Linked DNA regions of Lytechinus pictus. The protein of the gene in region 2 interacts with the protein of the main gene of each other region in a pairwise test. Links are inferred from orthologs where the notes say so. Each region holds a gene or a part of one and is shown on either strand. Other genes may lie near its edges. The genes, in order: SURP and G-patch domain-containing protein 1-like, splicing factor U2AF 50 kDa subunit-like and U4/U6 small nuclear ribonucleoprotein Prp3-like.

The links.
Region 1: the proteins of splicing factor U2AF 50 kDa subunit-like (region 2) and SURP and G-patch domain-containing protein 1-like interact in binary tests that used the Homo sapiens proteins (3 or more experiments, as listed by UniProt). The link is inferred for Lytechinus pictus from reciprocal best matches to the Homo sapiens genes U2AF2 and SUGP1.
Region 3: the proteins of splicing factor U2AF 50 kDa subunit-like (region 2) and U4/U6 small nuclear ribonucleoprotein Prp3-like interact in binary tests that used the Homo sapiens proteins (3 or more experiments, as listed by UniProt). The link is inferred for Lytechinus pictus from reciprocal best matches to the Homo sapiens genes U2AF2 and PRPF3.

The regions. Positions count from the first base shown.
Region 1 is NC_087249.1:31,939,013-31,946,863, forward strand, and holds the start of SURP and G-patch domain-containing protein 1-like, read left to right. Parts: upstream 1-4,842; 5' UTR 4,843-4,983; coding exon 4,984-5,213; intron 5,214-5,793; coding exon 5,794-6,125; intron 6,126-6,727; coding exon 6,728-6,913; intron 6,914-7,851.
Region 2 is NC_087254.1:7,871,566-7,879,390, reverse strand, and holds the start of splicing factor U2AF 50 kDa subunit-like, read left to right. Parts: upstream 1-4,747; 5' UTR 4,748-4,805; coding exon 4,806-4,884; intron 4,885-7,825. UniProt on the Homo sapiens protein: Plays a role in pre-mRNA splicing and 3'-end processing. By recruiting PRPF19 and the PRP19C/Prp19 complex/NTC/Nineteen complex to the RNA polymerase II C-terminal domain (CTD), and thereby pre-mRNA, may couple transcription to splicing.
Region 3 is NC_087247.1:68,145,434-68,153,331, reverse strand, and holds the start of U4/U6 small nuclear ribonucleoprotein Prp3-like, read left to right. Parts: upstream 1-4,842; 5' UTR 4,843-4,847; coding exon 4,848-5,033; intron 5,034-6,289; coding exon 6,290-6,513; intron 6,514-6,978; coding exon 6,979-7,069; intron 7,070-7,839; coding exon 7,840-7,898. UniProt on the Homo sapiens protein: Plays a role in pre-mRNA splicing as component of the U4/U6-U5 tri-snRNP complex that is involved in spliceosome assembly, and as component of the precatalytic spliceosome (spliceosome B complex).

The DNA.
Region 1 (7,851 bases), on a different chromosome or scaffold from region 2:
GTGCGTTTTTCTGATGTATTTGATTGTTTCACCAATTCCTGATGTATTCTATTGTTTCAACAATTTGTTATACATGTGTAATATGTAGCTTTTGATTTTAGAGACAATGGACATTTGATTACATTTTTTTAGGAGGGATGAGCAGCTAAGTGTAAAATATGTATGTAGCATTGTATGCAATTTATTTAAAGTATAAAAAAGGATAAATATTAAGCTTTACTTTAGTAAATTCTATCATTTTCAATGTATTTCTTAGATTTGTATACATACAATGTATTACAAAGGCCCTGTGAGCTCTCTTTTTTTAAGAAAAATAAATTCAAATTTTTAGTTGTCAAAGCCAAACGAAAAGGAAAAGAGTGGTCTATTTCTTTCAAAGCAAAACAAAAAACAACCAGGAAAAAAATATAACAAAGCTCTAAACAACAACCAAACAGACATCAAAGCTCCAAACAAACACTAAACACAAGAGAAACAAAAGTGACACAAAAACTTGTACCAATCCCGTCCCCATTTTCCAGTTTAAAACACAACCTCCACCTGCATGAAAAAAAAAAAGAAAAGTAAATTAAAAAAAATAGTAAAATTAACAATAAAAAAAACTATAAATACAGGACTTAGACCCATCTGGAAATGAAATATTCTTTCCTCTGAGTTTCCATGTATTTTCTTACAAGAGTGAAAAAATATTACAACAAAAAATAAACAACTTAAAGTTTGTGCATTTTAATTAAAAAAAATCAACATTTAAGATATTCTCCCTTCAAAAGCAAATCCAGTCTCCAAATAATGAAACATGACCAAAAAAAAATGAAAAAATAAACAAAACAAAAATTTAAAAAAGAAACTAAAAAATATATAAATAAATAAGTATGAAAAAAAACAAACATAATTTTTGCATTTTAATTAAAAAGTCAACATTTATGAAATTTCCCTTTCAAAAGCAGATCCAGTCTCAAAATAATGAAATATGATTGAAAAGTTTCAAAATATTTTTTTATTCTACAAAAGACAAAAAAGAAACACTATAGATTTTGCATTTTAATTTAAAAAGTCAACATTGATATTCCACTTCCAAAAGAATCCAGTTTCCAAAATGATGAAACATGATCGAACAATAAACCATCTTGACTCTGTAACCTTGGGAGGAAAGAATGTTTTTGTGACAAAATGTATGTATATATGTATCAATATCAAAATAATAATCTAGGTATAATGACAGAAATTTCCGAAAAAGGCACAATATAGAGTAAACAATCCAAGATCTAGTTCAATCCAGCATGAACGACTCACTATCGACCGCTCCCATCACCCAGCCAACCGCATCGGGCAGCTCGACTGCCGAGAGACCGGCTGTGACAAGGGTAACCCAAGGGTAGCTCGCTCCTCTTATATCTGGACTGCTAGTCGATAGAATCTCATATTTTTACTTTTCTTTTGACTATTAATATATTTTTTTAGAAGAATTCAGATACATAATTGGAACGTACTTCTACTTACCATCAAAAAATTTAGATCATTTGCACATCCAAAAATTTGATGAACTTTCAAGCTCCGATATCCACACTTAACAGGCGAGTATTCATATTGAAACTTATATGTACAGAAAGTGCACATCTTCAACTATTTGGAAAAAGGCACGAGATTGCATGAACTATGTGCGCATGCGCATTAAACCCCATTTTCGAGGAGCCGCCCAGACAGAGGTGATGCCACTTGCAGCAAAACCCGTGCGAAAACCGTGCAGCCAAAACCAGCGCTCGCGATGCACCCGTATTCGCACATACCTACAAATAGGGCCTAGGCCTATTTTGTTTATTTTAACAGACGAGTAAAATATGTTTGCAGATAATTTATTTGAAATGCGTTTCACATGGGTCATGCCGCATTATAAAAAATGGGTGACACGAAAGACTGTCCTGGCAAAGACCCTTTCGTGCAATCGGCCCCAGGTCAGGAGTCAACCGTGCAAAACGAGGGAGACAATGGGGTAGATTGGGGTCTCAATGGTAAATCTTTATAAAATGTGGAAACAGAAATTATTATGCCATTACCACGATTATATGGATGAAGGTCTATCGTGACACACAAATCCTGACATCGAGGCACAGACTGGGAATTAAACCTAAAATAAAAAAACCCCGAAAAGTTCTGTCGGGATACCTCTCCTTTTTTCTATTCAAAACAAAATGGCCGATCGAGACCGACAATAGAGGCGCACGGCCAATATGGGAGACTCTCTTCAATAGGGGAGACAATCTCCCACCTTGGAGACTTGCTTTGCAAAAGGACAAAAGAAACAACACCAACAAAAACATGATTTTTTCCACCCAAAATTTTGTCTCACTGAGGTCAGATGCCCATTTGTTTTGTGTGTGATTGACAACAAAAATCCTTATCAAAACAAAAGTAGATGGTGAATTTTTAAAGTAGACGGTGAAAAGGGGTAATTTTTCATGAGGAATCTGCCCATCACATTTTCATTTGCCGCCAAGGTAATCCTTTTGCAGCAAATGTAAACAAAGGAAATTGATCTCCAAAACTGGAGACTGTCTCTGAAATTGGATACCCAAATTCTTTACAAAAGTCTCTAAATATTGGAGATATTCTCCCACATTGGAGACAGTCTCCAATATTGGCCGTGCGCCTCTACTGACCGAGGCTATATTTTGTTTTTTTGAGGTTCCAGTCTGTGCCTCGATGTCAGGATTTGTGTGTCACGATAGACCTTCATCCATATTGGTAAGTGCATAATTTCTGTTTCCACATTTTATTAAGACTACTTATTGAGACCCCAATCTACTCCAGTCCCGTGTCCCCCTTGGCAAGAGTTCCATATGCACCCCCACTAAAATAAAAAAATAAAAACATGGAGAAGGTTCAGAATAATATATCTAGCCATAATATAGAACATATATGATGGGGGAGTGGAAATACATACCAAAATATGGCTTTATTCCGTCAAATTTCGAGCAGGATCGAGTGCGTGTAATTGTCCATAGATATCGGTTTATTTAGTCAGTAAGGGTCTGTGACTGAGTGTAGACTAGTCGAACTATCGGCTGATAATCGTTAAAATACCCCTTCAGGTATCAGCACTTCTCGCTAGCATAGCGGGAAGAGGTCTTGACTGCAGATAAAACGAGGTGAGTTCGAGTCAACTAAGGTAAGCAACAGTAAAAAATTAATAGAAAAATCTGAGATGAACGAACCGGAAGTCTCAACAATCTTGTTATTTTTGGTGGGGGGTGCATATGGAACTCTATCCTCTCCCTCGTTTTGCACGGTCGGCTCCTGGGTTACCTTATCGGTAGACAGCTGGCAGCCGTCTGTTTCGAGGAGTTTTTAAAAACATTTTTATTTCTCCTCGTACACAGATGGCTGGCGATCGTGCAGCCACCATTGGGGGTTAACAATGCAAAATCCCCCCGACGGGGCTTATCGATTTTTGTCTTACAGTCTTTATTTCATAAAAATATATAAAAAGAAATGGACCAAAATAAAGATTGTTATTCTGTTTTAGCCTGAAATGCACAAAAACAGGAAAAAATAAACTTAAAAGAGTTACTTCTGCAGTCGCGCAACTCCTACTTCCCTGGTTTATCCGAAATTAATACATAAACATAAGGTCATTGAGTTCCTGTACAGATCGAGTTAGAACTTTGGTCTCTGTAATTGGTGAGTGGAGCCAACGGAGTTCAGCGGAACAACCAATTAATAGAGACCGAAGCTTTTGGTCTACTTAAGTACTAGCGTACTAGCACGACCCTAGACAGCTGGCAGCTGTCTGTTTTGAGTTTTTTAACAATTAATTTTTTTTATATTTCTCCTCGTACACAGACGGCTCGCGATTGTGCAGCCGCAGTTAGGGCCCTTTTTAGGGGGTTAACAATGCAAAACCCCCTGACTGGGCTCATTGATTTTCGTCTTCATTTCATAAAAATATATAAAAAGAATCGGACCAAAAAAAGGCAAAATTAAGATTATTAGGGTCTATTCTGTTTTGGCCTGAAATGCACTAAAACGGGGGAAAAAAACTTAAAAGGGAAAAACAGTGACTTAGGCTGTGGCGCAACTCCCACTTACCTGGTTTATCCGAACTTAATACATAAACATATGATATGATTGCCAGCCAGAGAATTGAAATGATGCAGTGTTAAGATTAATTGAGTGGCCCATTGACATTGCGCAACTGCTTTGAGGGCAGCGTAACCATTGGCAAATTTTTCTTGTAGTTCCTAAAAAAACTTCTTGTCTTTTAATTTGTGACGTATAGTAAGATTTTAATAATTATTTTGTCAAAACATGCAGAATGATAATGTTAACATCATTCGGCAAAAAATGTTTTTCTGTTGTTTAGCGATGGCTTCTGTGGTAGAACCAATTGGGCAGAACATCTCACGCAAAATGATATAATATTCCGCATTTATATAGCGCTTAATACATCGGAACGACGTCTCTAAGCGCTTTACAGACATATCATTACCCCGGTCATCGGATCCTTGCATGTCTGCATACAATGTATGCACCTTCTCCACTCCCTGGGGAGCATTCCAACAAGAGTCCCAAGACTCAATTGCTAGGCATACTACATATAGGCTTTCACATCCTACCGGGTACCCATTTAACACCTGGGTGGAGAGTGGCAAAGTGTGGATTAACGCCTTGCCAAAGGACGCTAGGCCATGGTGGGATTACTGAAATGGTGGGATTACTGAAATGGAAAGAAAATATAGAAATGGCTTCATGCGTCACATTTGCTCTGAGTAGATGCAAGACAATTAAACAATGCACCGTGGCAAATGTCTTTGGCCAACAGCAGTGCTGATTAGACATTTCTGTATTTCATTACACATGTAAATGTTTACAATAGCAATAACTGGAGAATTTGAATTTCCTTGCAATTTCCGATCTCCTGCCAGGTTTTATGATTGGTCAACCTTCACACCAGGAGTGAGGAGTACCACTTGACTGTCTCTGACCATGGCATTCTCTTTCAAGCATGGTGCGGACAAAGGGGCTGCCAAGGCCAGCTTCCAGGATAAAATGAAGAGCTTGAGTGATCAGGAGAGGATGCTTTTGCAAAAGAGACAGGAAATTGAGAGGAAGATGGCCCAGAAGAAGAAAGAAGCAGCAGCAGCAGCCTCCCAAGCTGCCGCTGGAGCAAAGACAAAGACACCTCCTGGTGGTGCTACTTCAGCTTTAGCCCGATTGTAAGTTGTGTGCCTTGTCATTCGTGTGTGTTATTCTTTGTTTTTCCTGACCTTCACAAAAAGAAAGTAATAATAATCTGAAATGATATTTAATCTGACATTATTTCTAGTTGTAGATGACAAGATGCAGATTTCGTCTATTTCACTCAGTTTAAAAAATACTTAAGCTCAGACTCTTGTTTAATTGCTAACTTCCCAAACAAAATAATCTTTCCTTGATGGGTAATATAAGTTTCTTTTTGTTTTTAATGGTTAGAAATAAAAAATTACTACTTTTTGCTTGTAAAAGTATGAAATAATTTGGGTTTGAAATGCGTGTTTTAATAGGCACATGAATTGTATCTGCAGAGATAGAAGAGATGTGTGGCTGTACATGTATGATTGTCCACAAGCTAAAAAAGGCTTAGAAGTGGCATTTTTTTTAAAGACTAATGTTCTTTAAAAGAAATGATTTACTGCATATGACTGTTTCAATATGAAAAAAGGCTTGAAAATATTAATGCACTTACTTAATTATTTTCATTTATGAAATGCATTGTTCTTATTCTAAATATGGAAATGCAATTGTGTTTGATATTAGTAACCAATCGCGGAAGACAGCGGTCACATCAAATACGAATGCCACTCAATCCAAACCACCAGCTGCTCCTAGTCCTATCCAAAATAATACCTTTTCAAACGATGGCAGCTTCATGGCTCAGTTTATGAAAATGCAACAAGAACAACAGAAGAAGAAAGCAGAATCGATGGCAGCGATTAGTCAGCAGCCCCCACCACCACCCCCTCCTGCCACACACACTGCGCCGCCAGCCCAGCAGAGCTTCTACCCACCGTTGGGTGCACAAATGAGGCACTTTGCAGAAGAGAAGGCAACACTGGAGAGTATACCTCTGCCGCCCACCCCTGAAGCAGGTACAGATTTATGCAGAAATGCGTTTGTTCCCAGCTCTAGAAGTACCCATGAAAGTTTAAAATGAAATACAGTTTAGGAAATGATTCTTAGATCACTTTCCTACTCACCTCCTGTATGGTCTGGTGAAATGATTATTTCCCATGCTGTATAGTTTCTGAGGATTGTTCGTATGTTATGTTTGCATTTAATTTCAAAAGTAATAGTCATTTACATTTGTTGATTATGCACATTTGTGATGTCAATCTTTTGATGATCAATTGCAGGCATGAAGGAGAGCTGAATCTTGAAACGGTCTAGGCATAGGCTTACGTGTAGATGTCATATCGTATGAAGTCTATCACAAACTTTGAATGTTTTCGTAAATTAGGCTGTTTGAATACTAATGGAGTATTGCACTATTTCATTTCTGACGAAGTCTCGGTCTCTGTGTATTTCTCTCTATCCCTCTGTCTCTATAAGACTATATTTCTGTCTCAATGTCACTTAGCTCTTCTCTTGTTCCATGTCCTATTCTCATTTTCTTCCCTCTTTCTTCCTTATCGCATGGTATTACATTATATATCTGATCTTAATTTGCCCTTTTCTTCCTCTCTTTTCCCAGTGCCCCAACCCAGTAAAGCCAAGTCACCCACCAGCCCTGTACCCCCAAACAGACCCAGCACGTCCGCCGTCCGGGCCAAGATTAGAGAACAGCGGGAGAGGCAGATAGCCAATGTCTTTGGTGACTCCAGCTCTGATGAGGAGGATGAAGGACAGGGAGTGTCCGTAAAACAGGCTTCTGATGATGGTAAGTTGATTGTCCTCATTACAGGCTTGTTCAGAGATGATTTGACAATCCCCACATGTCTTAATTTTGCGATCTGGTAAAATAATGACATATTGGTCATTCCATTGGGTTGGCGCATTTTTGTGACATACTGAAAAATAAACTGGAAAAAAAAAAATTGTGTCTCATTTAAATTTGGCAAATTCCTGCCAATAATTACTTCAGCAAAAATTGGAGTATCACTAAGGTTTACTAATCAAACATGTATTGCAAATTCAGACCGGTCAGTCTCTTGCCAATGATATATAAATGCAGTGTCCTGTAATGTTTAAAAAAAAACAAAGATTTCAAATTCAAACATGGATTACTGTGGTAGGGACCTTCCTTACATTGACACATCAAACCTTAACTATATCTGAATTGACATTCATTGTGAAATGAAATGGTTGATTCCTACATACAGTATCTTACATGGACATTTTGAATTTTGTGACATCAATCAAATGGATTGACCCATATACATGTATATTTTTCAAATATATACGTCAAATTTTCTTGTAGATCTTGTGTGAAGATTAGCACTGTCGGTGTGAGAACATGTTGAAATTAATTTGTGGTTTTGCCAGATCCACAATCAACCATAGGTTGAATCACTTTCCAAATTTTGTATTAATTTATATACATGTAGTATGTATGTGTCATTTTTTAAACCTAACCTTCTTGTCATGTAGTAAATGCATTTGTCATGCATGTAGACAAGCTTTAAGTTGCCATTGTTTTGTTGAGTTTTGAATGAATTTAGCTCAACAGGATATATCATGTTGTAAAGAGCTGAAATAGATATTCAAACTGTAACATTCCCATCATGTATGGTCTTTATAAAGAGGCAGGCTCTATTTTTATTGGTGGGGGGGGGGGGGGTATAGCAAATTTCTCATTTTCAGTGCATGTGTTGAATA
Region 2 (7,825 bases):
GGATATCATCATAGATATCCATCTCTATGATGATATCCAACTTGGGCATATCATCTCTATGCCCAAGTTGGATATCATCATAGAGATGGACTTTCAAGGTGCATATGCCCGCCCGCCCCCCTATTGGTGGAGCAAAAAAAAAGGAAAAAGTGAAAGGAAGGGGGGGGAATGGAAGGGAAAAGAGAAGAGTAAAAAAGATGAGAAAAGGATGAGGAAGACTAGTGAATAAAATAAGGTGAGGCTGGGTAAGGCTTGGAAAAAAAAACTTTCATATGTCACTATAAAATTTTCGCTCGCGCTTTGCGCTCGCATAGCATGTTTGATGAAATACATAAAATTCTTAAAATATCAAGTTTTGAAGTCAATATACAAAACATATTTCAGCTCCGACATCGAGCTTCCATTATTTTGTTTGATTTACAATTTAATTTTCAAAAAGTGATCTGTAAAATATCCATTTTATTGACTCAGTATCAAAATTTTAGCTCGCATACGTATTTGATTTGTCAAGTATGCTATTCGTGTATTCTCATAATATCCCTTTTCAGGTTTGATTGTCAAAACCTTTCAGCCATAGCGCTATGCGCTCGCATATATATGCCTCGATCTATAATACTAAGTAATTATATAACAAACTACTTAAAATCCCCTTTTTATGACAGTTTAAAAAAATTTCGGCGTGCGATTTGCGCTCGCATAAATTTGATTGATAAACTTATCATGCATCCTATTATTCATAATTACGAAAGTGCTTAAAATGTCCAGTTTTCAGGCCTTATTATTAACAAATTTTACGCTGTCATAGGCATAATTATTAGATTAATTAAGAAAATGATAACATGTCAATGAATTCCTAAATTGTCTCTTTTTTCAGAAAGGGATATCGACAAGTTTTATCTCGCGCTTAGGAGGAATAGGAAGATAGACATCATTTTCATAATTATGACAAAATGTCCTCATGAAATGTCCCGGTCCTAGGCCGGGTCCTAGGTTAAAATAACTTCAGCTCGTGCCGCGCTCGCATCATTTATTAGGTGCGATCCATTTCCATTTCACAATTTTTCTACACCGTGCTTGAATTAGTGCTTAATTAAATTGACACTTTTTGAGATCGGAATATCATATGTTTTCAGCTCACGGTTCGCGCTCGAATTATTGATTTTCATGATTGTACTCATAATGCCCAGATACTATATAAATCAATCTAAAATACACGCACGTGTTTATTGAGATACCCAGCTTGTTCTACATGCTTAAATTATCCAGTTTCAGATTTTAAAATATCAACAATTTTCTGCTCGCGCTCAATTTGCACTCGCATTGTTAATGTAGGAAGATAACTAATTACCCATCCTTTTCATGATTTACAAAACATAGATTAAAATCTTATCCCCCTTTCCCCTGTATTTTGTGTGTGTGGCAATTTCGTACCTTAATTGCATGTTCACTGCATGGCCAGGAAAAGTTAGTTTTGCAAGAAATGACCATGGTACCTAGCCCCCCCCCCCCCCCCACACCCTCCGTTTCAGCCATGTCGGTCAAGCATGAAGAGGATCATATTCCTCTTCATGTTGCTTTACCTTCAAGGCCTTATATCATCTTTATTTTAATTTTATTCTGATGATTTACAGTTCGCCTTTGAGTTTATTCGGATTCTCAACATTTTAATTAGCACTCTTTAATTTAGTTCTGAAAATATTTTCCTCGTGGGAAAAGAAGTGGGGGCACCAGGGGATGTGTGGGAGGGGGGGGACTTGCCACCCACTCATCGAACCGTTGCCCCCCCTCCCTTCCCCAGTTGCCAACAGATTTAGAAAGTTTTTTTTTAATGACTGTTCATTTCTTTAATATTTTGTAAGTAAATAATATTAAAGGTCAATTCCACCCCAAAGGAAAGTTGATTTGAATTAATATAGAAAAATCAAACAAACATGCATAACGCTGAAAATCTCATCAAAATCGAATGTTATGACACTTTAAAATTTCGCTTATTTTTTCACAAAACAGTTATATTCACAACACAGTGATATGCAAATGAGAGAGTCGATGATGTCTCTAACTCACTGTCTCTTTTGTTTTTTGTTGTTTGATTTCGACCGTCTTGTTTTTAACCACAAAATGTTAAAACAGTTGTAATTCCACATGTTCAGGAAGGAATCAAATTTTATATTTCATGCAAAAGAAATAGTGAGTGGATGATGTCATCATCTCCAATGAAAATATTTTTTTGGGGGGCAAACATATCGTTTTGCCCCCCCCCCCCCCAATAATTCCGGATGTGCAAAAATGAAAAGGATTGTAATGTTACACAGAAATCGGCAAGCGAGATTGAGATACACAACTCGATCGTTCTTTATCTAAATCGTGCTCAAAATGTGCGTTTTTCAGAATCGAATGTAAAAAATTTCAGCTCGCGCTTCGCGCTCGCATCATTTCTTTAGCAAAAACCCATACTTTTCATGAATAATAGGTAAATAGAATGTCCCGTTTTCAGGTCTAAACCTCAAAAGAACTCCCGCTTCGATTATCAACAATCTTTTGTTGGATATAAATCCTGTCTTTATTAAAAAGTCCATTAAACTGTCAATTTTTTCAGATCGAAATATCAAAATTTTCAGCTCGCGCTTCGCCATCGCATCTATTGTTCTTTTAGATGCCCATCTTAATCATTGTTACCAAAAATGCTTAAATTTCAAGCTTTCAGGTCAGAATATAAAGAAATATCAGCTCGCTCTCGGCCGGCTCGCATTATCTGTGTAGTGAGATAAAAGTATCCTCCTCATGAGTTACTACAAACAGTCCTAACAGGTACCTTTTTCCTGTTTTCAGGTCAGTATACTAAAAGATTTTCAGCTCGCGCTTCGCGCTCGCATTATAATTTGTTGGTGGGATATGTGTCTCTTTCTCATGAGTCACATATATATATATATATTTATATATAGGCCTATGTGTGTGTGTGTGTGTCAGTGTTCGTGTGGGTGAGTTGTGTGATCGAGCTCCTTTGGAAAGTTCATGATTTTGCCCCCCAATCTGAAAAATGGATCGACGCCCCTGTTTCCTCATTCTGACCAGCATATGTCAAATGTTTTTATAAAATTAAGCGAAACTTTAAAATGTCATGCTGACTTTTTTATTTTTACATTGGATTTTGATGAAATTTTCAGTGTAGTGCATGCTTGTATGATTTTTATCTTTCTATCTAACCCAATTTTTTGATGGGCTGGACTGGACTTGTCCTTTAAAGGACAAGTCCACCCCAACAAAAAGTTGATTTGAATAAAAAGAAAAAAATCCAACAAGCATAACACTGAAAATTTTATCAAAATCGGATGTGAAATAAAAAAGTTATATTTTTAAGTTCAAGTTGGTCTTTAGTGTCAAATCTGTAAAAAATGAAATATTGTATAATTCAAACAATAAAACACGAAAGAAATAGTCAGTGATGGACATCATCGACCGACTCATTTGCATGTCACTAGGTTATGCATATCACTATTTGGGAAAAATAAGCAAAACTTTAAAATGCCATAACTTATTTTACATCCGATTTTGATGAAATTTTCAGCGTTATGCTATAGATTGATCTTTCTTTATTCAAATCAATAGGCTTAGTTTGATTAATTTATAGGCCTACACCGGCATCACTTTTGTAGAGAATGAGTGCTCAGTTACCGAAGGCCGGCTTGAGATCGAGCTTTATCTGAATTGTTGTTTTCTATAGTCTAATAAAATTCAAATAGTGTTCTAGTTCTATTTCATAGTTTCTGAGCAATTTTTATTAAACAAAAGTATACGTACGTGAAGCACTGCGTTGTCTTAATGTTCTTCTTCTCAATTATTTTAATTCTTCTAATTGAATTTTGCATGCGGTCACGTACGGCAGGTCGAGTCCCGTTCCGATTGTATATACAGGCCTAGTATAGATAACCTTTTCTTTCAATTAGTATAGATAACTCATATTAGTGAACACACATATTCTTACAATTTTTAAAGTAATTCTCAGACACTGCATGCATGCATGGATTATATCCACGGACTCCAAAATATAGTTAACATAATTGGCAGGCTCATCCATCACTCGATTTCTCAATAATTTCTATATGGAATTAGATAATTTTTTCTTGATCAGATATGTTTTCTGCCGAATATCAGAGAAGAATAATTGCTTTCAAAGTGGCAAGATAATATAATTAAAGTTTATATTATTTTACTCAGGATCATTTAGGGCTACGCCTATAGTATGATTCGGCAAATATAAGTGACAAGTTCTGTCGCATGGGTGATGTCATTTTGATTCAGAAAAGCAAGCATTTGAGTTTAAAATGGCAAGTTAAGCTTTAATCAGAATAATAGGCTTTCTTAGAAGAGGATAAAACCTCCACGAATTTAGTGTACACGATAATTGCTAGTTGCCTTATATATATTTATTGGCACATTAAAACAGGTGCCTAATCGAGATTCCATTGATCTAATATTAAAAGTAAACAGTCATATTTTCTTCCCCATTTATTTCAAACTTTCACCATTCTATAGTTTCGCCTTCTTTATTTAAAGTTACCATTTAATGATGTATTCAACGCCAACCAAAAGATCAATAAAACGCGACAAATCAAACAAGCATTATAAAACTTCATACGGCTTCGGGGGATAAATATTGTTCATCATCTGGCGTGGTGAATATAATTAGCGCCAATATATTTTAGCACGGGCCTGTAGTAGTGCGGCAATTTCTACACACTCGTACTCGGATCGGAAGTGTAGCACATACAGACATTGAGCGTGTTACACCCGGTCCTGAATGTTGCATGCTGAAAACAACCGCTGAAAACTGGTCTAAAACTCGGGGAAAACACTCAATCATGGACGAAGATGATAGAAAACCAGGTAGGCATTAGTAAGAGTGATGTAAAAAGCATGGAATCTTTTCATTTTAATTTCCAAATACGATAGACGAAATACAAACATGACGGCCATGGCCATGCCAGCCAGTCAGTTTGCGTCGCGTTCATCATGTGTCATTGTGCAGTTGTGTGTGTGTGCTTTGTGGTGCGCTAGTTAGTGCTTGTGTGGGTTGGGGGTGTGTGTGTGTGTAAAGAACCCCTGTGTAAATAGGGCCCTGAGTTCTGGCTTCCAGTTCCACAGCCAGGCACAACTCCTTGTAAAGTTTTTTTGCCAAAAGAACATGATAAAATGGGGCATTATCGTGAAATTGGGAACCAGTTCCTAATTTCCAAAGGACACTTTTTCACGACAAGACATGACCTACCTACCTTTTCGAGCTTGTTCACTGTTTCATTGCAGCTGGCGCGCTGATCACTGAACTAAAAAAACGTGGAATGCGTGTCCCTATTCCCAACGTACACAAAGCCATGCGGCAACGAAGAGCATCGGGCTTCACGCTCGACTGAGCGCGCCGCCATTTTGCTAGGTCAATACTGGCTGGTCGACAAATGCTGCGTGTATATAGGCAGATGGGAGAAAGGAACGCAAAGAAAGTGTTCCTTGTGCTGTTTAAAGTTTTAGTTTGCTTTGTTACATCATGAACTATATGTTATTGAATACTTTCATAACTGAAAATGTTGATTTAGTCACATTTTTTTATTAAAGGGGAGTAAACATACAGACATGAAATCATAAAAAACTCGACCTTTTTCACGCGCACGCTGTGACAAGGAAAGGCCCCACAACAAATATGCTTTCTGAGTAGGCCTATACTAGCTGGTTGCATCAAAAAAATCTTTTAACGATTAGAAATCATGTCCCTTTCTCTAGCTTTTTTTTTAAACCTCCCTTCTCATTCAACTATTAATCTCATCTCATTTTCTCTGATTTTCCTCTTTTTTCCATCTCTCTTATCCTCTCCATCCCCTTCTATTTCTTCCATTTCTACTTTCATGCCCCTCTCTCTCTTATTTCTCCCCTTTATATCATCTCGATCTCCCTCTTTATTATTTTCCTTTCTCTTTGGCTTCTTTCTCTCTGATTCTCCTCTTCTTTCTCATCTCTCTCTTTTACATTCCCACTCTCTCTTCCCCTAATTATATTTTTCTTTTATTTCCCCCATCTCCCTTATATCGAGCCCTCTTTTATCTCCCTCTCGTCTCGCCTTTCTCTCCTCACCTCTTTCTCATTCCTCGATTTCCCCCTCTCTCTCCCTCTCTCTCCCTCTCTCTCTCTCTCTTTCTCTTTGATCTTCCTCTTCTTTCCATCTCTTCTCGTTGATCGTCTGTTTCTTTTTCTCTCTCTCCATCTTTACCATTTTTCCTTTCTCATTTCAACTTTCTCTATATAAATTTTGAGTAAATATTCCCACAAACACACCAAATATCATTATCATTTCTGTTAGATGATTGGATTGCTTTTGTTTGCTTGAAGTTTGAACTTTTTCCTCTTTCCTTTTTATCCTTCATCCTTCTATCCTTGCTTTTTTTTGTTCCATCTACATCTTTTAATATTTCATACCTTTCTTTCCTGATTCTTTCTGTGTTTTAATTTTCTTTCTTTCCTTCTTTCTCCGTATCTGCCATTTTTATTTCCGTCATTCTTTTTTTCCTTATACTTTTATTTACTCCCTTCCTCACCTTTTTCTTTTCGTTTTTCTCTCCTTCCATTATTTTTTTCATTCTATCCTATCTCCAATCTTTCCTCCCTCTCTTTCATTCTTTCTTTCATTCTCTATTTTATTTTTCCTTCTTCTTCTTTCCCCTTATTCTTTCTTTCTTTCTTTCTTTCCCTCCCTCCCTCCCTTCCTTCATTTCCCCTTCCCGTTTTCTTCTTTCTTTGTTTCCTCCTCCTTAATTTTTCTTACTTTTCTTACCTTTATTTTGTCTTTCACACATCTTCCCTTTCTTTCTATATTGGGCGAATTCAAAGAATGACGGAAACCCTTTTTTCTCTTTTATTCTTTCTTTCATCGTCCTTTTGATTATTCTAACTTTCTTTCATTTTCCCCTTCATTTGTTCTTTCTTCTTTATCATTTCTTTTCTTTCGTCTTTTCTTTCTCTCCTTCATTCTTTCGTTCTCCCTCCCTTCCAATTATTTTTATTTTTTTCACAAGTATAACATCGTGTAGCCTTCTTTGATGATCTTTTTTTATCGATTGTCCCGTATTTCATTTTGTGAAATCTGGTCACCCTGATTTAGACCCTTTTTTTAACTACATGAATTACCAGGTCCCGGTACATTGTGCATATAGAAATATGTTTGTACATGATTGGCTTAATGACATTAAAATACACTTTGCCACACTATTAATTTTATATTTATAGAGAAAACATATTGCATCTTGCACATAATATTATTTTCAATTGCCTTCTACGGAACGTTCTCGAACAATTGACCTAGCAAAATGGCGGCGGTCACGTGACTTATCGATTTCGCCGGCGCTGTTTTGCTTGAGTGAACACGACTTCCACGTATTTTTAGTTCAGTGGCGCTGATTCTAGATAAAGTAATCCTTCAAAGAGCTTAGATCAGAAAGATTGATTTCGTCGCAGTCTTTTCTCTACTCGCTAAAATGGGAACCAGCGTGGAAAACTCCCCATAGAGTTGTACACACTGGTTCCCATTTTAGCGAGTAGAGTAAACTAGTTTACTCTACTCGCTGAAATGGGAACCAGCGTGTACAACTTTATTGAGAATTTTCCATATGATAGAGTTGTACGCGCTGGTTCCCATTTCAGCGAGTAGATAAAGACAGATTACTAGTGATATTTATTTTGTTAGTGATGATTCTCTGACGAAATAAAGCTGATTAATAAACTGTCTTTATCTACTCGTGAAAATGGGAACCATTATTTATAATTCAGGAGAATTTTCTTAGAT
Region 3 (7,898 bases), on a different chromosome or scaffold from region 2:
TATAAAAAAAATGAAAGAAAAAAAAAATTAGAAAACGGCAAAAGTTATATCTTGAAAAAACAGTGTGAGAAAAGTCCTTCCCTATATTTGCCAAAATGCTGGAAAAATTCACATTTCATATCAATGAAATGCCTTCCCAAAGTATTTACTTCCTCAAGAGTGGTTTAAGAAGTCATTTATAAACAAGAAAGAAAGAAAGAAACTGTCTGTTTATTTTTGGCTAGAAAAGACACAGCTTCGAAAGAAACCAAGTATCAACATACATACAAATGCACACTTGGGACTATGATGTACTCACCTATGTGTTTTATGTTTATTATTATTAATGCATTTGGAAATCGGTCTTTTTGAGTCAAAAGAGAGGTCATAATTCCTCTTTTTAATGCTGGCAAATAATCAGGTTACACCAGATTTTAGTAATGTGGACTGTAGAAGGGCATTTAATTGGTGTAAAATGCGACTTTGACGTAGATTTTCAAAGTTCTGTGGGAGATTTGTTAGCAGCAACATTTTGAATCGCAGCTCCCCGAGTCTGAATAGTCTGCTAGCGCACAGTACACAGCTAGCTGCAGTGGTTTCATGCATGCAAAGCTGACGGCCGGCGCGGCCGGATAATAGTTACTGTATGCTATAGCGGTAGGCCTACATACAGTCATGACTATGCAATCTTTGTGTGTGTGTATTTGTGTAGATTAACAAAAAGGGCGCATGACGAATTGGCTTGCAATTTGAACTGTAGAAAGTTGATAAATGCGTGCAAAATCGGGAGAAAAATTGCGCTCCTTTGAAAATTATTGGTTGCCCGATTCAGGCCACCAAAACTTAACATTTTTTTAATGATGGTTGCCCGAGGTGAATTTCTGGTGGCCCCGGGCCACTGCTAATGTCGAGCCTTGGATAAGTAATACAGTGTGCACTGTCTAACAATCAAAACAACTGGAAGGAGGAAATAAGATCAGTTGTCGGATTTGCCGTTAACGGAAAGTAGAGGCTTAAAAATTATTTTAGTGCCTCATACTTGTTTTCCAACCTTTCTTCAGACCACTTGCACTCTGCAACCACCCTGTCTTTGGTGAGTCTATGCAACATACAAACACACAAAAAAAAGTCTTTAAAATATCACTTTTGTAAAAAACAACACCCAGTTCCATTCAGTTATGATTTTTTCATTATAGACTTACAGTGTAGGAACCATTTTTTTATTCACCAGAGCGCTCAAAAACTTAAATTTTGAGTATATTTTTGTGACGACCTCTTTTGGTGAAAAACTGAAATTGATGCAGATCTCCATCTCCACAGTCTCTTTTTTAATGGCAAAAAGAAGCTGCTGAAAACTGCTTATCTAATAAAAGAGAGCCAATGGAGTAAATTAGAAAGTCAAAAGGGGCCTAAGCTTTCGATCCTAGCAGAATCTTCGTCAGAGGCAAAATGATGCTCATTTTGCCTTCGACGAAGATTCTGCTATGATCGAAAGCTTAGGCCCCTTTTGACTTTCTAGTCTCTTTTTTAATTAGAAAAAATTAATTTCAAGAATTCAATTGAGTTTTGGGCCAAAAAATAAAGTATTTATTCATTCCAGATCAAGAGAAAAAAAAGCAAAACATTGACAATCTTATTCATGTAATTTCACCACACAGTGGTTTCTGAGGACAAGGTTATCATAACCTTGTACATGGGATAAATGCTCGTAATCAGTTCTAAAATCGACAAGAAAATTAGCCTACCTGAAAAAGCTCTGGATGCCCTGACTCGATGACCTCACTTTAACCATCTCCTTGTGCTTATCAGAAGAAATGTGTCGAAGGCATGTCATTTCTTCCTCAAAACTTTATAGATACATCGACCAAGCAAACTGAGCAAAAAGCATGATACTCTCCTCTCTTTGATCTTGTCACACAGTCCCATTCCACTTGAAAATTATCTTTATACTTCGAAAAGTATTTTGTATTCTTGGTCTTGGATGACTCCATCTCCATGGTCACTGACGATGCGATTGTAGTGTGGATGAATCGGGACGGGCGTGCTTCGCACAGCCAGCCAGCGCCAGGCCAGCTCACTCACGAAAGAGAAAATGTTCGAATCCGATCAACCCAAGTGAAAGTAGGCGAAAAATTCTCAACTTTGCTTCTGTTCTTCAGGATTGTCAATAAAGTGAAAGTCGGGGTGTAGTTATAATAGTAATCCACTTGTAAATCCCATCGTTGATCCACAGTTTCAGCTCGAATAAAGCGCACACAAGCGTATGAAAAATGCCTCGCAGTGCTCGTGGACTTCCCTTCTCATAGCCTCCTGGCGCGGCGCGGCCGGCTGGAGACCAGGCAGGGTCGCATCGGGGGGCATGTGCATGGAGTGCCGCTGAAGTGTTTCCATCACACACATTGCAGAACCAGAAAAAAAATGGCAAGTTAGACTAATTCACCAGTCGTTCAGTAAAGTTATCTTCATTTACATTGGAAGTCAATGTACGAGTATACAAAAACTGGTAAAATTTACTGGGTAAAATGAAAATGTGATAAGGAGGATCCACGTGGGTGTAAGGGAGTTGAAAATGCTAGACTCGTAAAACAGTCGTTTGTATGAATTTTACAATTTAACAGCTAAAAATCCTGATTATCCCGGAGATTTTGGCATGGGGTCGGGAGAATGGGAGATTGGATGGCAATCCAGTATTCTTCCGCAGGATCCGGGAGACTCGGAAGCTCTGGATTACACATGAGGGCTCGCACTAACGTACTACCGTCGGTGAATGGGGATGATAGTAAAATGTCAGAAATTGTTAAATAAATCCCCAGAAACGACGGTTATTCCTGTCTAACCACTGGCGTGCTTAAAGGTATTGTTTAACTTTGTGAGCAGCCGATTTAAAAAATTCTCAAACCAAGATGATACATGTGTACAAGTGCATGTATTAGAACTAATAAACCCTGAAAACAACCATTATTGAGAATGAAAAGCTAGAACTACAAGGCAAACCCCGATTTTGTAAATAGGCGTCTTATAGACGCCTAAATAGTACACATAAGTGTATGGGATGAAATTAAGATGGTGTTTTCGGTCACTTTATATTTCAATTTTTGAAGCATTTTTTTTCTGGGCTTCATTTTTGTAACATATCACAGACACAGGTGACAAGTGTGACCTTCTAGCTCAGATTTTTTTAAAGTCTCGCGATCGTGCAGCCGCCATTAGGGGGTCAACAATACCAAAAAAAATAAAACGGGGGTTTTCGATTTTTGTCTTTATTTCATAAAAATATATAAAAAGAACTGGACCAAAATAAAGATTAATATTCCATTTTGGCCTTAAATGCACCAAAATGGAAAAAATAAACCTAACAGGAAAAAAACAGTGACCTACTTCGGCTGTCGCGCAACTCCCACTTCCCTGGTTTATCCGAACTTTATACATAAACATATGGCCATTGAGTCCCTGTACAGATAAAGTTAGAACTTCAGTCTCTGTAATTGGTGAGTGGAGCCAACAAAGTTCAGCAGAACATTCAATAAAACAGAGACTGAAGCTTTTGGTCTAGGATACCATTGCACTTACACGCACCGAGTAAAATACTTGCATCGGCCGATAAATATCATAAATCTTACCTCAGTCCTAGATCCCACTTCAACTGGTCTAGCGTGAGGAATATTTTAGCATTATTGGTGGCAAAATACTTGGTGCGTGTAGTGCAATGGCATCCCGTCCCTGGCTTCATGGAGATTAAGCACGTCATTGGTATGACTTCAATCTCCAGGAGCCTCCTGGCCTGGGGGTGGGGGGTTCAAGAGTATATTGGCAGTATTGCTTTGTGTGGATATGTGTAGATCTAAAAGTTAGATCAACAACTTCCGTTTGAATGGACGATTCAACCCCATCCAGCAGAACATGGATTCGAATGAAAAGAGACAAATCTAATGTCTACAAAAGTAAAAACCCTGAATATTTCATCAAAACCGAATGTAGAATAAGAACGTTGTGATGATTTTAGATTTCACTTGAAGTTTCACTTCAAGATCACAAAACAGTTGTACTACTGTAGAGTCTATGCATATCCACTCGCACTAGTGCAAGGTTAGTTACTATTCTAACCTTGCACAAAGAACCACGTTTGGCAGTGGATTTCTAAAGTTAGTGGGTCGTGCATGCTGCGACGTCACTTCTGGCGTGCACAACACACGACTTCTATGGCTTGATTTTTCTGTGCGCGGCGGCATGTAATGCAATGAACCCTTGAGTGATGCATATACTAGTCCTCATGCAATGAAGCACCCAGCAATGTCGTCCATTTAATATTTTTTTAATACATTATGAGCTCTAGTCTAGAGTCTATATAAAATATTTGTGAAATGTCTTCCTATTTTTCATCATTCGAGTTTCAAGATCTATGTGAAACACAACTTGATTTTCCCTGACAATCTGGGAATGCTTTTTTTACATTTTTTGTTGCAATGTTGTCTTTCATCATCAAGCGGCTTTTATGGCTAATCTGACATTCCTTATGATCTCAACAGCTCAAGAGTACATGTAAGTGTGGCAAAAAATTTGTCAAAGATGAAGTCTAGAGCTCAAACAAAATAAATTAATTTCTTCTGAAAATCTGAAACTGAAGTCTCTCATATTTTTTAAATTGAAAAACATTGAAGCCCCATATCTGCTGAACCATTCATTTTATACACAATTCAGAGGATTTGATGAGGGAGACTGTAATGGATGCCTTTACAAGTTTACATGTTTCTGAAATGCCTTTTAAAATTTTTCACTATTTTATCTCTGTAACCTATTGCAGATGTAAAATTTTTGGTCATTACGTGTCTGATTAGAAAAAAAAATCTCCTTTCTTTTTTTATTAAGATATGTTAAAGCCCTTGCTGGAAGACTCGGCTGAGAGGTTTGTGGAGACCCTATTTGCAGATGTAGCAGGTTTTCAAGGTGGAAGTAAAGCTTCAAAGAGAACCAGTAAAGATGATGATGGATATGAGGGACACAAGAAGCGTTCTAAATTCTCTCACTTTCCCGGTGAAGACGAGAATGGAGTCAAGGTAACAATAAGCTGTGGGAAACAATACATTCCTTAAATTTACCTTATAATTTTTGTTACGTGATTACCATATTTTACATGTATGTTACTGGGGGATTTTTTAACATTCTATTCAAATGAAGTCCTGAATATGACTGTAAACCAGATTAGATGAGCTGAATATGGCTTGAGTAGCGATGGTTTGAGTAGTAGCAGGTTGAAGTGAAGAGAGGTTACTCGACGTTTCGGGCAGGTTGACTGTCCATCTTCAGGAGTCTTCACTTCAACCTGCTACTACTCAAACCATCAATACTCAAGCCATATTCAGCTCATCTCATCTAGTTTACAGTCCTTTTTCAGGACTTTACTCACTTTCAAGAAAAGATTACCTCTAATTTCCTCTTTTCATCCTTTCTCGTCTTTCCATTTAAATTTTCTGCCTGTATTTCCTCTCCCTTCTTCATATTAAACATTGTGAACCGTAAGCCTTCTCCACATTATAAACTCCACCATGCAAACCTACTTCTTTTTTATTCTTTATTTGATTCTAATCTAATCTAATTTAATATAATTTAATATAATTTGTTGTCATCTTCAACAACTGTATAGTTGTATTTTACTATTTTGTATTACATGTATGTTATCTTTGTAAAGTCACATGGATTGGAAGACCTTCGGGTTATAGTTATTTAGTTAATCTTTTTCCTTTCCCGGCATCCATGTGACTCTCCTTATCCTATTGTTTGTATATGTTGTTTATGTGTTTGATTATAATAATAATTTTAAAAAAAAGATCATCTGCCTGCTTCATTAGTTCAATAAATTAATATTTTCCCTGATGAATTTTTACAGTAGAAGTAGGCTATAAAATAGTGATGTTTCAGTTTGCTAAAGGGCATCAGCTTAAATTAAGAAGGTTGTTCTTCTGAGCATGATACCTCATGAAAAATCGTTACAAAATTGAGAAAGTGCCGCCCAAAACACAATTTTGGTCCCATGGGACCACTCCTCATTTAAAACGTGTATGTTATAATTTTTTTGACATATTTTGTAACATTTTTAGCAATAAATCCAGCTTAGCTATGCAACATAAGATAACATCATATTTTACCATTGTGCAAATTTTTTTGTCATGGTCACATGATTTGAGACCAAGATCTTAGGGGGCATAATAAGGACTCAAAATAACCTGGGATTATTAGACTTAAGTCCTGCTATATTACTAAAGTAAGGAAAGTACTTGGAACTAATTAAATGAATGTATTTTACCTGACACAGTTTTCAAAGAGTCAGCCCGAGGCTCTGAGAAATGATGCTCTGGAGAAAGCCAAGAAAGCTGCTGAGATACAAGCACGCATACAGGCAACTATGATGAGTGCTGGGTTAGGTGGTTTGAAACTACCACCTATGCCTGGAATACCACAAGCACCTGCAATACCTAAAGTACCAGCTCCTAAAGAAGATACCAGTCAGACTAAACCACCACCAGCTGTTCTCACTAAGTGAGCAAACAATAATTATCAATAGCTTTCTCTCATATTGAATGATTCTGTATTTTTCTGTTTTAGATTAAAAATAAATCATATCTCAAACAATCCTTTGTTTACCCCTCCTCCCAGGGCCCTGGGAACGATTTTGTAAGTGGAGGTGCTGATGTAAGTTTGAAAAGTAAAAAAAAAAAAGTTTCTCTACAAAATGGAAGTCACAAAAAATTAAGTTAATTTTGGTTACATTTTTCAATTTTTACACATCTCTCAGAATACCTTAGGGTGCTGCCTGTGGAGAATAATACACACAGCACCCCCAAGGAAAATGTTGGGGGTGCTTCAGTAACCCTGCTTCCCAGGGCCATGCCCTCTCCCCCTTGAATGATAATAAGCTCAAAGTGATAAAACATTTTCTGATCCTCTCAAAGAGATTCTGGTTATTCATATTAATTATTCTTTTTTCTTTTTTTGTGTGCTTAGACCAGCACCATTGATTCTTGATGATCAAGGTAGAACAATTGATAAATCAGGACGTGTTATCATACTACCGCAACACAGACCAACAATTAAGGTAAAGCTTCCACAATTTACGTTTTATCTTTGATACATAGAATGTACAACTTGATGAGAAGGGTAATGTTGTTTTTATTTTATGTACATGTATGTGGTAGGCTTGTCAAATGAAATGAAACATCGTGCAGAGAGTTTTAAAGATATGTGAAGATATGTTATATATATTTCAGTCTATTCAATTGAATAAAGTTTAATAAGAAAAGTAATTGAAAAGGGGGGAACACAATGTAAGCTACATGTATGCTTGATTATTCTGATTTTCTTCTGGAGGAAAAAAAATCATGTTAAGAGCAATGATGACTTTATTACTCATAATCAGAAGAAGAGTAAAATGATTTTTGTATTTTTCCACTTTCAACAAAGGATAAATAATTTATTACTTTAGAGTTTGGATACCTGTAGGGACAGTCATTTTCCATTATACTGGTAAATAAAAAGGAAATTCCATTTTGTTCTTACACTTTTTATGTAAAAATTCATGGAATTTAGGTTTTTGCTGTATACATTTTCAGTGACAAAACTGAATTTCCATTTTTAGATCAAGTTGAAACGGAATTACAGATTTTCAGACATGGAAAATACCATTTTTTAAAATGGAAATTCACTGTCTCTATACCTTTCATTATCATTCAAATAGACTCTTGCATGTTTTAAAGGATGAAAATGTTTTAGACTGTGAAATAGTGAATGTGAATAGAAGTTTTTTGTGCATTCTTAAAATAAAATTATATTACTTTTCTTGTCCCATTTATACTGTCCAATGTGAAGGCTAACATCAGAGCCAAACGGAGAGAAGAATTTAAGGCCAATCAGCAGGAAAAACCACA